2 linked regions of the Arabidopsis thaliana genome follow. The protein of the gene in region 1 interacts with the protein of each later gene in a pairwise test. Each region holds a gene or a part of one and is shown in the gene's direction. Other genes may lie near its edges.

Region 1 (5,909 bases):
TCTGCATGTGATCCGATTCTTCCTTCGGATATACCCGATTCGAGATTTGATTTCGGAATGGCCGTTGGAGTCGGCGGCGAGATTTTACCGGAGACGCTTGAGAAAATGGTGGAGATCTGTGACGTTGTTGCTGTGGATATTCAAGCTTTGATTAGGGTTTTTGATCCTGTTGACGGAGCTGTGAAGCTTGTTGATTTGAAAGAAAGTGGATTTTATCACATCTTGCATCGAATTGGATTCTTGAAAGCTTCGTCAGACGAAGCTCTTTTCATGGATGTTGAACAAATGAAGCACTTGTGTTGTGTGGTGGTGACTAATGGTGAAAAAGGGTGTAGGATTTATCATAAGGATGATGAAATGACGGTTCCTCCGTTCTTGGCGAAGCAGGTGGATCCTACCGGTGCCGGAGACAGCTTTCTCGGAGGTTTGATTGTTGGGCTTGTTGAAGGTTTGACTGTTCCTGATGCTGCATTGTTAGGGAACCTCTTTGGTTCCATCACTGTAGAGCATATTGGTCAGCCAAAGTTCGATTTGATGATGCTTCAGGTTTGTTTTTTGGTCTCGTATTAGCTTACTGAATTGCATGCTGTGAGAGATTTGCAAATCTAATAGACAGTAGTAAGAACTTTTAGAGCCGATGATAGTGATATGCAAATGTCTTTAACATAATCCTAGCAAAAGAACTCTGTTACATCTTGCAGCTTACTTTCAATACAGCCAAACCTATATCTTGCGGGTGAACTAGAATCTGTATTTGATGTTGATAGGTTTCCAATCTGAAAATGTGTCAAATCTTCACAGTTGTTGTTTGAGATTCTGTCGAGTCACAGCTGCTGAGAGAGTCTTTTCTTGTTTTACTTCATTGTTAATCTAGGAGCAGTTTCATTCAACATAGGGTAGATGCAGGAAAAAGTGTTGTTTAAGCATTCACCGAACAATGTGGTTAAGCAATTAGAGAATTCAAAAGTATGGATCTCTTGATGTATTTGCGAGTGTTTCTGTGTATCTCTTGTAGTTGTATCTGTTGAAATGAGGGCGTTATTGGATAATAATTGAACCATTGGCTAGTGCAAGTGAACATTAAGCAAATTAGAAGATTTATAGCGTTTGTGTTTGCACTGCACAAGGATTCATCCCTTTCATCGGTTATTTCTATGTGACATATGTCTTTGTGATTTGCAGAAAGTCAAGGATGAGGTACAGAGAAGGAAGAAGCAGTGTAACATATCTAGCAGCCATAACAACGATCACAACGAGTTCCATGAGCGTCTAAGTCCAGCTCGGTTTTCATGCGTAGACTCTCAACTTCAACCAAAGTTATTGGTCAATGGTCACTCTTGTGATGATCGGTCCCTGTGAATACGAATCTTGAATCACCTTTTTTTTACTAACAAAGCTCTTCTGAGTTGTGTAAGCTTGCTTCAACACGTTGATGAATTTTGGAAATTTTAATGTATAAAACGCGTTGACCAGCGTCTTCAAACGCTCTTTCTGGTCGTTCCCGCAAAGTTTGTTTATCAACTCCGCGTTTCAAAATTCGAAATGAAGATGTCAAATTTTGTTTTAAAAGTTTTGGATAAGATGATTTGCTATTCGCATGTTGCCACATTATCTAGTTAATATAAAAACCAAAAACAAATCTGAGATAAAATTACGAAAGTCAACGTGGGAGATCTAATTTTGACTGGTGCATAGTTGAACCGGTTCAATATATGTACAATCAGGAGGAAACCGTGTTCGGTGTTTGATTCGTGCGCGTGGATTTAAAACGTGGTCACGATCAGGCGCGTGGATTGACGTGGCGATTCCGATTCCCAATCAAAAGTCTGGACGAGCAAAAAATTTCCTCTGATATTGGCATCTCCATTACTAACTCCTGATTTACGGTTAAAACGCCTCTTCCCTCTCTCCGACGCTTCTCGTCGGAAATCTGGGTTTAAGTTTCTTCTGCAGATCGGAAGAGATTCTATTGAAGCGGCGTTGACACGATTTCATCTATAATTGTACGATAATGAAGCAGAAGAACCAGCATAAGAAGAAGAAGAAGCGATCCTGCGCCGCGAAACCTTCCGGTGATGGAACGACGTCGGACGGGAACAAAAAAGATGTGGAGGAAGAGAGGAAGGACGGTGAAGGAAAGAGGGAGATAGAAAACGTTGGAAAAAATTTTATCGAATCGTTAATGGAAGCCTTTTGCTCGGTTTCAATGGAGGAAGCGATGGCTGCTTATAAGGAAGCAGGCGGAGATCTGAACAAAGCCGCTGAGATTTTATCGGATCTGGTGGAAAGCGGTGATGATCCGTCGACGAGTTCGGTGGCGAGTGGTTCTTCGGGTCAGGAAACAGCGTCTACCTCTGAGTATGGGGCAGGGTCAAGTTCTAGCTGTAGCGAAGATTTGACTAGAGATAGATGGTTTAAGGGAAGCAAGCAGAGTAGAGTTATTGCTGCTACAGGGATGGTTTCTTCTGTGATTGCGAAGGATTACTTGAAGCCAAACCCTGTGCGAAAAGAGTTTCCTATGATGGAACGGTCTAAAGAGCTCTGTGGGAACGGGAAAAAAGCTGCGGATAGAGAGAAAGCTGAACAGTTCTTAAGTTCAATGCTTGGAGATGATTGCGAGCTTAGCATGGCTGTTGTTAGAGATGTTTTGTGTGAGTATTTCTTCTTCTTAGTCAGTTAATTTTTCCATGGGAGAAGATGTTAGTAGAAAAGTATGATCCTTAATAGTTATAGGATTACGTTTTAATGTGTCCGCGATATTCGAAATATAGCCGTAATAATGTTATGAGGAGAGACTAGATTGTTCGATGAATTGACATGGAAGTATCTATTTTTTGTAGGTCAATGTGGCTATGATGTCGACATGGTAAGCAGAGATTGTCTTCAAACTTACATGGGGAAGTATTTAGTATATTGACAGGGAAGCTCCTGAAATATGCTGATACTTGCCCGACTATTTATTTTAAAGCTTAATAGCGTTTTCTTCTTAGGCTTTGAATGTCTTGCTTGACATGTCTTCTTCATCAACTGATGATTCATTGAGTGGTAAATGTTTCGGCATAGGAGTCAGCGATAGTGTAAGTGATTGTTTTTTTTGTTAATCTTCATAGATCTGTTTATTTTGTTTTCTTACACGATAAAATAAAGTGCAATCTCCTGACATTATTTAACAGCTGGCAGAGTCATCTTTTGATACTGATACTTCTGATTGTGAACTTTTCTGGGGTGGAGACTATAGTCAAAGGTACTTCTATTTGCTTCTTAGGCTTTCATCTTGTTATTGCAATTCACTGATTTTGGAATTATCAGAGTTGATTTACACGTTAGTTACAAGATAACGAGCTCTCTGCAACCTCTCCTTATCTTTTAATTAGTCCTTATCCTCTTCTATGAAAGAACAACAAACGAACTATTTCATGGTGGAGGATTCAGTTCATGAACACATGATATCTAAATTACTCATGAGACCGCCAAAACTTACATTATGATTTCTTAATTTCAACATTGTGGACGAGGTCAAAACTAAATATCTGGCCTTTTTTTCTTTTCTTTGTCTGAATGGTAGGGACTACGCAAAAGCTCTCATGAGTTCTCAAGATCCTTTTGCAACTACCCAAGGAATTGATGAGCTTGGTCTTCCACAAAAAGTGTTGGAGTCTCTGTTCAACATTCGCCAGAATCCTAAACATGAATCAAAGACAACGAGTTGGAGGAATGTGGCAAAGAAAATGCAGTCACTTGGCATTGATGCTTCTTCATCTAGTGGGGAAGAGCCTCACCCTAATACGTTTGGTACTTTACTATGGTTTCTTGATTTTAGTATTTGCGTATATAGCTGCAAATAGCATGCTCAATTTGCCATGAGTTTGCCGGCTTCGAGCTTCTGATGTATGTTGTTTTACCTGATGAAACACTTGGCAATTTTTGCTTTGGTGTCATTGGCATAAACATCTGAAGTTTTGACTGCTTGTTTGTGTTGCAACTCTTGAATCAATCTTTCTTACTCATGAATTGCATTACCAATCAATCAGTACGTGTGTTGCAGTGAAGGATGACAGTTATCATGAACTTAGAAAAGGTGCAAATGACCAGTGGAATGTTACGAAGTCCTACTATCAAAAAGTTAGTTTTACTTGCTTCCATATATCTGGCTCTGGTAGACTCCTCAACTAATGCATTTATTAATTGGTTTAAGGCTGCCGAAGCATATTCGAAAGGAGGGAGGGCTCATGCGGCTTACCTTTCTGACAAGGTGCATATCACGGTTTACATATATCATGGTATCATGGCATTTTGTTTGACAGTATGACAGAAACTTGTGTTGTTTTTCTTTTAGGGAAGAGTGGCATCTAAACAAGCTCAACGGGCTGATGAGAGGGCAAGCCAAGATATATTCGTTGCAAGGTTAGCTGTTTTGATGCATTATCAAAGTATGCTGATGCGCTTAAACATTTTGTGGTGGACTAAGCCATTGTTTATGACTATGCAGAAACAAAGGTATAGAGAATGTGGTAACCATTGATCTGCATGGTCAGCATGTTAAACCAGCAATGAAGCTACTGAAGCTACATCTCTTATTTGGATCATATGTTCCTTGTGAGTACTTAGCAAACTCAATTATAAGTCTTTTCTTCTTTAGTAGATCATCATAGTCAGATCTTGTCATCATAAAACCCGAGATAATACCTTCCTCCTAACAATTGTGAAATCATCCAGCCATTCAGACTCTACGAGTGATCACAGGATGTGGAGCTTCTGGGTTTGGGAAGTCTAAGGTGAAACAATCAGTAAGTTTCTTCAACGCCCTTTCACAGCAAAACCGGAGACAAGAATTTAGTATTGCAGTCATGGTATATGATTGTTATTTATGGATATGATCAGGTGGTAAAGCTGCTAGAAAGAGAAGGAGTTAGGTATTGTGAAGAGAACAGAGGGACACTGCTGATCAAGCTTGACGGAGGTAGTAGAGAGTTCAGTTTCTTAGACACAGAGAGTGACTCTGATGAATAAGTGATAACTAAAACTAAAGTCAGGTTTTAGCTTTAGATCTTAAAATTTATGTCGATTTTGTCTATATCTGATGCTAGCTCTCTGTTGTTAAGTAAATGTTGGGCAAAACTTAGCTTCCTTCTTTTTCCTTTCCGTATTTCACGTTATTTAAGTTCTGAAAACACTTTGTCTGACACAGACAGAATGTATATTTTTCGCTAACTCTTCTTTAGGAGTTTACTGATATATATATTATCGTGTAACTTCTATAAATTCTACAAATGTTGACAATGCAAAACGGCATAAGTGCAGAATTTTTGCTACTGAAAGACATTTGTGTATAAAGTCAGACATAGCTCGAGCTAGAAAGCAGACGAAAGAAATAAAGCCGGTAGAATCTTTCATAAAGTAACCAAGACACTCGTTTTAACACAAAAGTCATCAAGCACACTAGAGCTCACATCAATGGATGATCAGATGGAGAAAACTAGAGTTGTTGAGTTACAGGGGAAGCTCACCACTGTCTACAATCACCACTTTACTCTTAGGAGTTCCACTCTGATTTCCTTCAGCTTCGACTTTGTACACCACATCCATTCCTGTCACTACCTTCCCGAATACCACATGTCGCCCATCCAACCTGCAAACTTTCTAATCAGCAGACGGAAACAACATATCGACAATTCTATCCATAATTGAAACTCTTAAGCTTAGAAAGTAGTAACCTGCCCACACAATTGTCAAACAACTTGAAAGTAAAAGATAAGAAACTGGCTTTATGTGTTTGAAATTCAGATGATTCTGTACTCACCAGCTGGTTGTTACAGTTGTGATGAAAAACTGTGATCCGTTGGTATCTTGACCGGCATTTGCCATTGATAAGAACCCTGTGGAAAAAGGAAAACAACTAATCATGTAAA
Region 2 (5,276 bases), on another chromosome or scaffold:
TAGGGTCTGCGAAATTTCCCATCACATTCACATGGATGGTACCATGTGAAATACAGAAGACCATCGAACGTGTAGATATTTTTTTTAAACTTGTCACTGATGTGTTTATAGCTAGATGAATTCATCTCTTCGAATAAGGTAGAGTTATAAAGATTGAATACTGAATAAAGAAAAAGATGGGTGAGATCAAACGCACCATTAAACTTTTTATTTACTCAATTCAACATCATAGATAGGTCTATAAATCAAAACATTCAAAAATTCATAATGAGTAAGAATATTCTAGAATATGGCGCTGTCTATATATTTTGAATTTTCCTATTAAAGTTGTTTTGAAAATTTCAATAGATATCTTCTTAAAGTCAAATTGGTGTTATGAGATCATAAATATATATGAGAAAGAAAAAAGAAAGAATTAACTGATTCTATATTTAGATTGTATCAAATAATATAAGTTTTATTGTTAGTTTGGTTGAACAATCTCACAAAATTTCTTGATCTCAAGGATTCATCTTTAAGAGAAGGATAACTAATTTCATTTATCCCATTAGTACTAGGCTACTAGCTAACCTAAAATATTCTTTCTATGATTTCGATGTACATACAGGTTATGTTGATAGAATATGTGTGACATATGTGAAGTCCGGATTTTGGATTCTTTTAAGCGTTATGTGATTTATTTAAGCAATAAACTATGGTTTACAAACTTGACATGTACACAAAAATAAAAGAAACTTGACATGTCTCTTTTTTTCTTTTTTCTTTTAGTTAGTGTGCTTTTAAGAAGATGTCTATATGTGATATCTTATTTATTTTTATTATAATCACTAACGTGAAATTCAAATTAGCAATTAATAATTCGTACCAAAAATACCGAGAACAAGATACTTGCCTCGGGATCGGATCTAAAAATAGTCAACTAGAAGACTTTTAATTTTTATTATTTTCATACTAACTGTCCTTTTATTAACTTAATTTCTTTCTTGCCAAAAACTTTATCAACAAAATTATCAGCTCTGTACTAATATTATTACCGAGACAACCGTTTGAAATTGTCTATCTATTAAGAGTATTTACATTAGTAGATCTAATCCTATATAAAATCGTTATCTTAAATCGAATTAGCATACAATATAAGGTTACTTGCAAATCATGTAAGATTATCCACATATACTTTTCGTACAGTACTTTTTTTTTATAAGTATCCATTTTATTCAGAGTTGATTACGGATACAAAAAAAAGAGGTTAATCCGTAGAAATCAAATTGGATAATGAATGTTTCACAATTGTATAAAATCTATAGTCAAAACACACAATGTTGCAGTATCATCGAATGACTATCAATATGAGGAGTTACTATATTATTAGAGTACCAAAAAGTTTATAGACTTAAGATTAACATTTCAACAACAAATCAAGCTTATGGACTTTGGATTAACATTTCAACACAACAATATGATGATCCGTCTTTACACGGGAAAGCATGTGTCAAAAGAATATGCATGTGTTTTGTTTTACTTATCTTACCAAAAAAGAACTTTTTGCTGATTTTAGATATAGAAAAATATAGCATATAGTAATATAGTGGAAAACTAAAACATTTGACAGAGGAGACGTGGGACAAGAGAGCAAGCGGCGCCGCAGCCATATCTCTCGTTCAAATTTTATAATTACAATTAAGAAAAGGTCAAATGCATTTCCCATTGTCTCTTTGTATCTCTTTGTGTCACTAAGTCAACCTTTAATTGAAATCCTCCATATATTGATCTGTCCAATATCAAATTTTAACTATGGATAAGTATATGTCTAATTCGTGGCCAGGCCCATTAGGGACTTTTAGAGGGCCTTTAAAACAATAAGCACGCGCGTCAGTCTTACGTATTGTAAGGACGCGTGGACGTTTTACTTGACGTGAAGGAAAGAGAAACTCCGATACCAGAGCTTGGTGGAGCAGTGGAGACGCTTCCACGCGAATCTCGCAGTCCCACTCGTCTTCCTCCTTCCCTCTCTTCCTTTGAATACCTTACCTCTCTCGGTCTCGCTCCCTCCCTCGATTCAAGCCTATTCGTCTTCTTACGCTGTGTCTTGAAACCCTAATCTTTTTCATTTCAATCCCTAAAGGTGAAGTCTTTATTGCGTGTTCGTCTTCTCTGTCTTCGTTTCTACTCTTATTCGTCTAATTTGCGATCTGGGTTAGTGTTTTTTTCTTACGGATTTTAGTGGGTCCGTGTTAGATTATCGAGATATTGATGTAATTCGAACTTGTGCGCCGCTGGAAAAACTGAATTTTGTGTAGCTATGACTTTTCCGATTTCTGGTTAGGTTCATGAGTCATTGAAAATTTGTTGAATTGTATAATTGAACTTGTCAGAATCCATCTGTGTATTCTTATGTTTTTGAATTCTAGGGTTATCGAGAGCATTTCGTTCTTTCTTATACATTTATGCTAACATTTTTATATAAATTTCTATGGATCTGAGATGTGTCAAAGGTCTTTGTTCCATGTGGATTAGATTAGATTCTAAGGTTTCTCCTTTGTTTGTTTAATAATTGATTCACTGTCATGTCGCGTGAGTTGTTCTGTGAAGCATGTTCCTTTTGGTTGTCTTGTAACATGTCTGCACATCTTTTGTTATTTTTTTATTTTCTTTTATGTAATCTTATTAACTGTATTTGATTTGATGCGAGACTTTGTCTCACCAGTTTTTATTCTTGGTATCTCTATACATTGATTCTCCATCTGTTTGCTTTCCATAACTTGTCGATTTGGTTTTGTCATTGTGTTAGTTATCTTGTGAGTTTGAATCACTTTTCTAGGCTTCCAAGCTAGTGAGGTACATTACTTCGTTTGTTTGATCTCTTTTCGTTTCGGTATGAGTTCCTTGATTTGATTTAAGTTTCATAGATTAGCATTGTTTGTTGATCATGCAATTCCAGGGATGTATGAATTCAACATGTTTATTCGAACCTCCCTCTTTGTTTGCTATGAGGTTGTGAAATATCTTTTATAGATGCATATGTAAAGCATTATCATGAAATAGTTCCCAAATCAGAGTGTGGGATGCTACTACTAATCATGTTGTATGCTGAATGGTGAACTGGAAAAATATATGTAGTTTCCATGAAGAGATATCTACTTGTATTGTTACAAACTTTTATGTGGAGTTCTTTTGCTAATTTGATGAGGATTTGTACAGGTGTGATTTTGAGATTATGGCCAAAGCTAGGAAGGCAGGACGTAGGGTTCCTTCACGACGCTTCAGGGCAAGAGCAAAACCATACAAATTTCCATCTTCTAAAAGACTTGTGGCGAGAAACATGTTTGCGGAAGATTGTTCAAAGTGTCTAGAGAAGAGGGATTGGGAGAATGTTATATGTTCGGTTTGCATGGAGTGTCCACACAACGCTGTCCTTCTTCTCTGCTCATCTCATGACAAGGGATGTCGTCCTTACATGTGTGGAACCAGTTTCCGGTATTCTAATTGCTTAGATCAGTACAAGAAAGCGTCAGCTAAGCTGAAGACATCGGGCCATCAACAGATCAATAAGTCTGAGCTTGGAAATCTCACATGCCCACTTTGTAGAGGACAGGTGAAAGGTTGGACAATCGTACAGCCTGCTCGTGACTTTTTGAATCTTAAGAAGAGGATCTGTATGCAGGAGAACTGTGTTTATGCTGGAACCTTCAAAGAGCTGAGGAAACACATGAAAGTGGACCACCCTAGTGCGAAGCCGCGTGAAGTGGATCCTGATGTGGAGCAGAATTGGAGAAGGCTTGAGATCGAGCATGACCGGGACGATGTTATGAGCACGATTAGGTCGACAATGCCTGGTACAGTGGTGTATGGTGATTACGTAATTGAAAGGAACAATGCCAACGGTTCAGATTCAGACGAGGGTGGTGATGATGATGGGATCGATGCTGCATTTGGTAGGAATCTTGTGAATGTTTTCCTTCTGTTACATGCTTTTGGGGCATCAGGTAATCAGATCAGACGCTCTGATTCAGATTCGAATGACTCGACAACAATCAACCGAGGAACAAGTGAGCTGAATTTCTCTGAAGAAGAAGAGGAAGAGGAGGAGGAGGAGAGGCATAGTAACAGTAACTCTTTGGCAAGTCGAATGAGGCGACAAGGACGCGTTCTGCTGGGACGTTCAGGTAGGAGACGTAGAGATAGAGAAGCTAACCAGAACACAGGTCCTCCTCCTAGATGAGAGAGAATCACACGAATTCAAAAGAAAACCCTGTCTGATTTTGGGTTTCAGGTAAGCTTTATGGTATGGTTAGGTACAAATGTAGTTTCGACAAGTTTAAAACAAAACAAAAAAAGGCTTTTGGCCTTTCTGCTATCACCATTGGAGAATTTGGGAATTTGACTCGAAATTCTTTCATATGCTAGAGAAGCAGGCTTGCAATCTCATGTTTTATTTACTGTATTCTGATGTAACTTTCTGGGTGGAAAATTCACAAATATCTATCCTTGTGAATAAGCATGATCAGTGATGATGACCAATGAAGTCTTTTAGCGAATTATGAAATTGTGTTTCCTTGTGTTTATAGATTCCATGTGCGCTTAGAGACTTACCTATGAATCGTTGTAGAGTCTTCTAAGAGACTTAGACCACACACACTCACAAGTGTTATGTGTATGTTTCTCTTAATAACATGATTTTATTTTGGTGTAAGTGTATGATTTAAGCTTAAACATTCGTTTTTTTTCTAAAGTTAGTTTACTGCTTAGAGTTTTGGAAAATACACCAACATAGATGAAATATGTTTGGTTTTGTTTTTCGGTTTCGAGAGTTGCCTCGTATCGATGTGGTAGCTTCTACGACCAACAACACTCAACATTAAACATGTGTTTGGTTTTTGACTTTTGTTAATAACATGATCTTATTTAAGTGTTAGTGTACTATTTAAGTTAAGCATTCGGAGGTTTTTATTCAGTTCGCTTAGAGTTTTGGAAAATATACCTCACCGATAATCGATTTTATGTAATTAGTTTTGATTTTGATGGAAATGTCGATAAACAAAATGGTGGGGGCCTTTTACTCTTACGATACCTTCCTTCTATCCTTTCACTCTTTTTTACTCGTCGCTATCGAGTTTTGTCGTGTCCCCATTTTTTGGGCAAAATTACAGAATCAATAAATGGAGGAATATATAGACTGTAATTGTGAACAAATTGACAAAAAATATTAAAGAGATTTGGGTTTGGAATTGGACAAAAAGTGGCATCCACCAAAAAAAGAGATAAAGATAATTAATCAA

The links. Proteins that work in one complex are often made in the same cells at the same time.
Region 2: the proteins of AT5G58720 (region 1) and AT1G68140 interact in a two-hybrid assay, tested with the Arabidopsis thaliana proteins (one large-scale study listed by BioGRID).

The regions. Positions count from the first base shown.
Region 1 is NC_003076.8:23,719,077-23,724,985, reverse strand, and holds AT5G58720 (smr (Small MutS Related) domain-containing protein), read left to right. Parts: upstream 1-1,810; 5' UTR 1,811-2,011; coding exon 2,012-2,651; intron 2,652-2,840; coding exon 2,841-2,866; intron 2,867-2,990; coding exon 2,991-3,077; intron 3,078-3,173; coding exon 3,174-3,244; intron 3,245-3,565; coding exon 3,566-3,792; intron 3,793-4,045; coding exon 4,046-4,122; intron 4,123-4,195; coding exon 4,196-4,252; intron 4,253-4,336; coding exon 4,337-4,404; intron 4,405-4,489; coding exon 4,490-4,596; coding exon of another isoform or gene 4,597-4,652; exon of another isoform or gene 4,653-4,716; coding exon 4,717-4,787; coding exon of another isoform or gene 4,788-4,877; exon of another isoform or gene 4,878-4,881; coding exon 4,882-5,010; 3' UTR 5,011-5,291; downstream 5,292-5,909. Other genes in the region: Mik (pfkB-like carbohydrate kinase family protein), read left to right, coding at 1-546, 1,183-1,359; ROC7 (rotamase CYP 7), read right to left, coding at 5,491-5,629, 5,801-5,876.
Region 2 is NC_003070.9:25,538,353-25,543,628, reverse strand, and holds AT1G68140 (zinc finger/BTB domain protein, putative (DUF1644)), read left to right. Parts: upstream 1-1,805; 5' UTR 1,806-2,122; exon of another isoform or gene 2,123-2,835; intron 2,836-3,198; 5' UTR 3,199-3,214; coding exon 3,215-4,219; 3' UTR 4,220-4,705; downstream 4,706-5,276.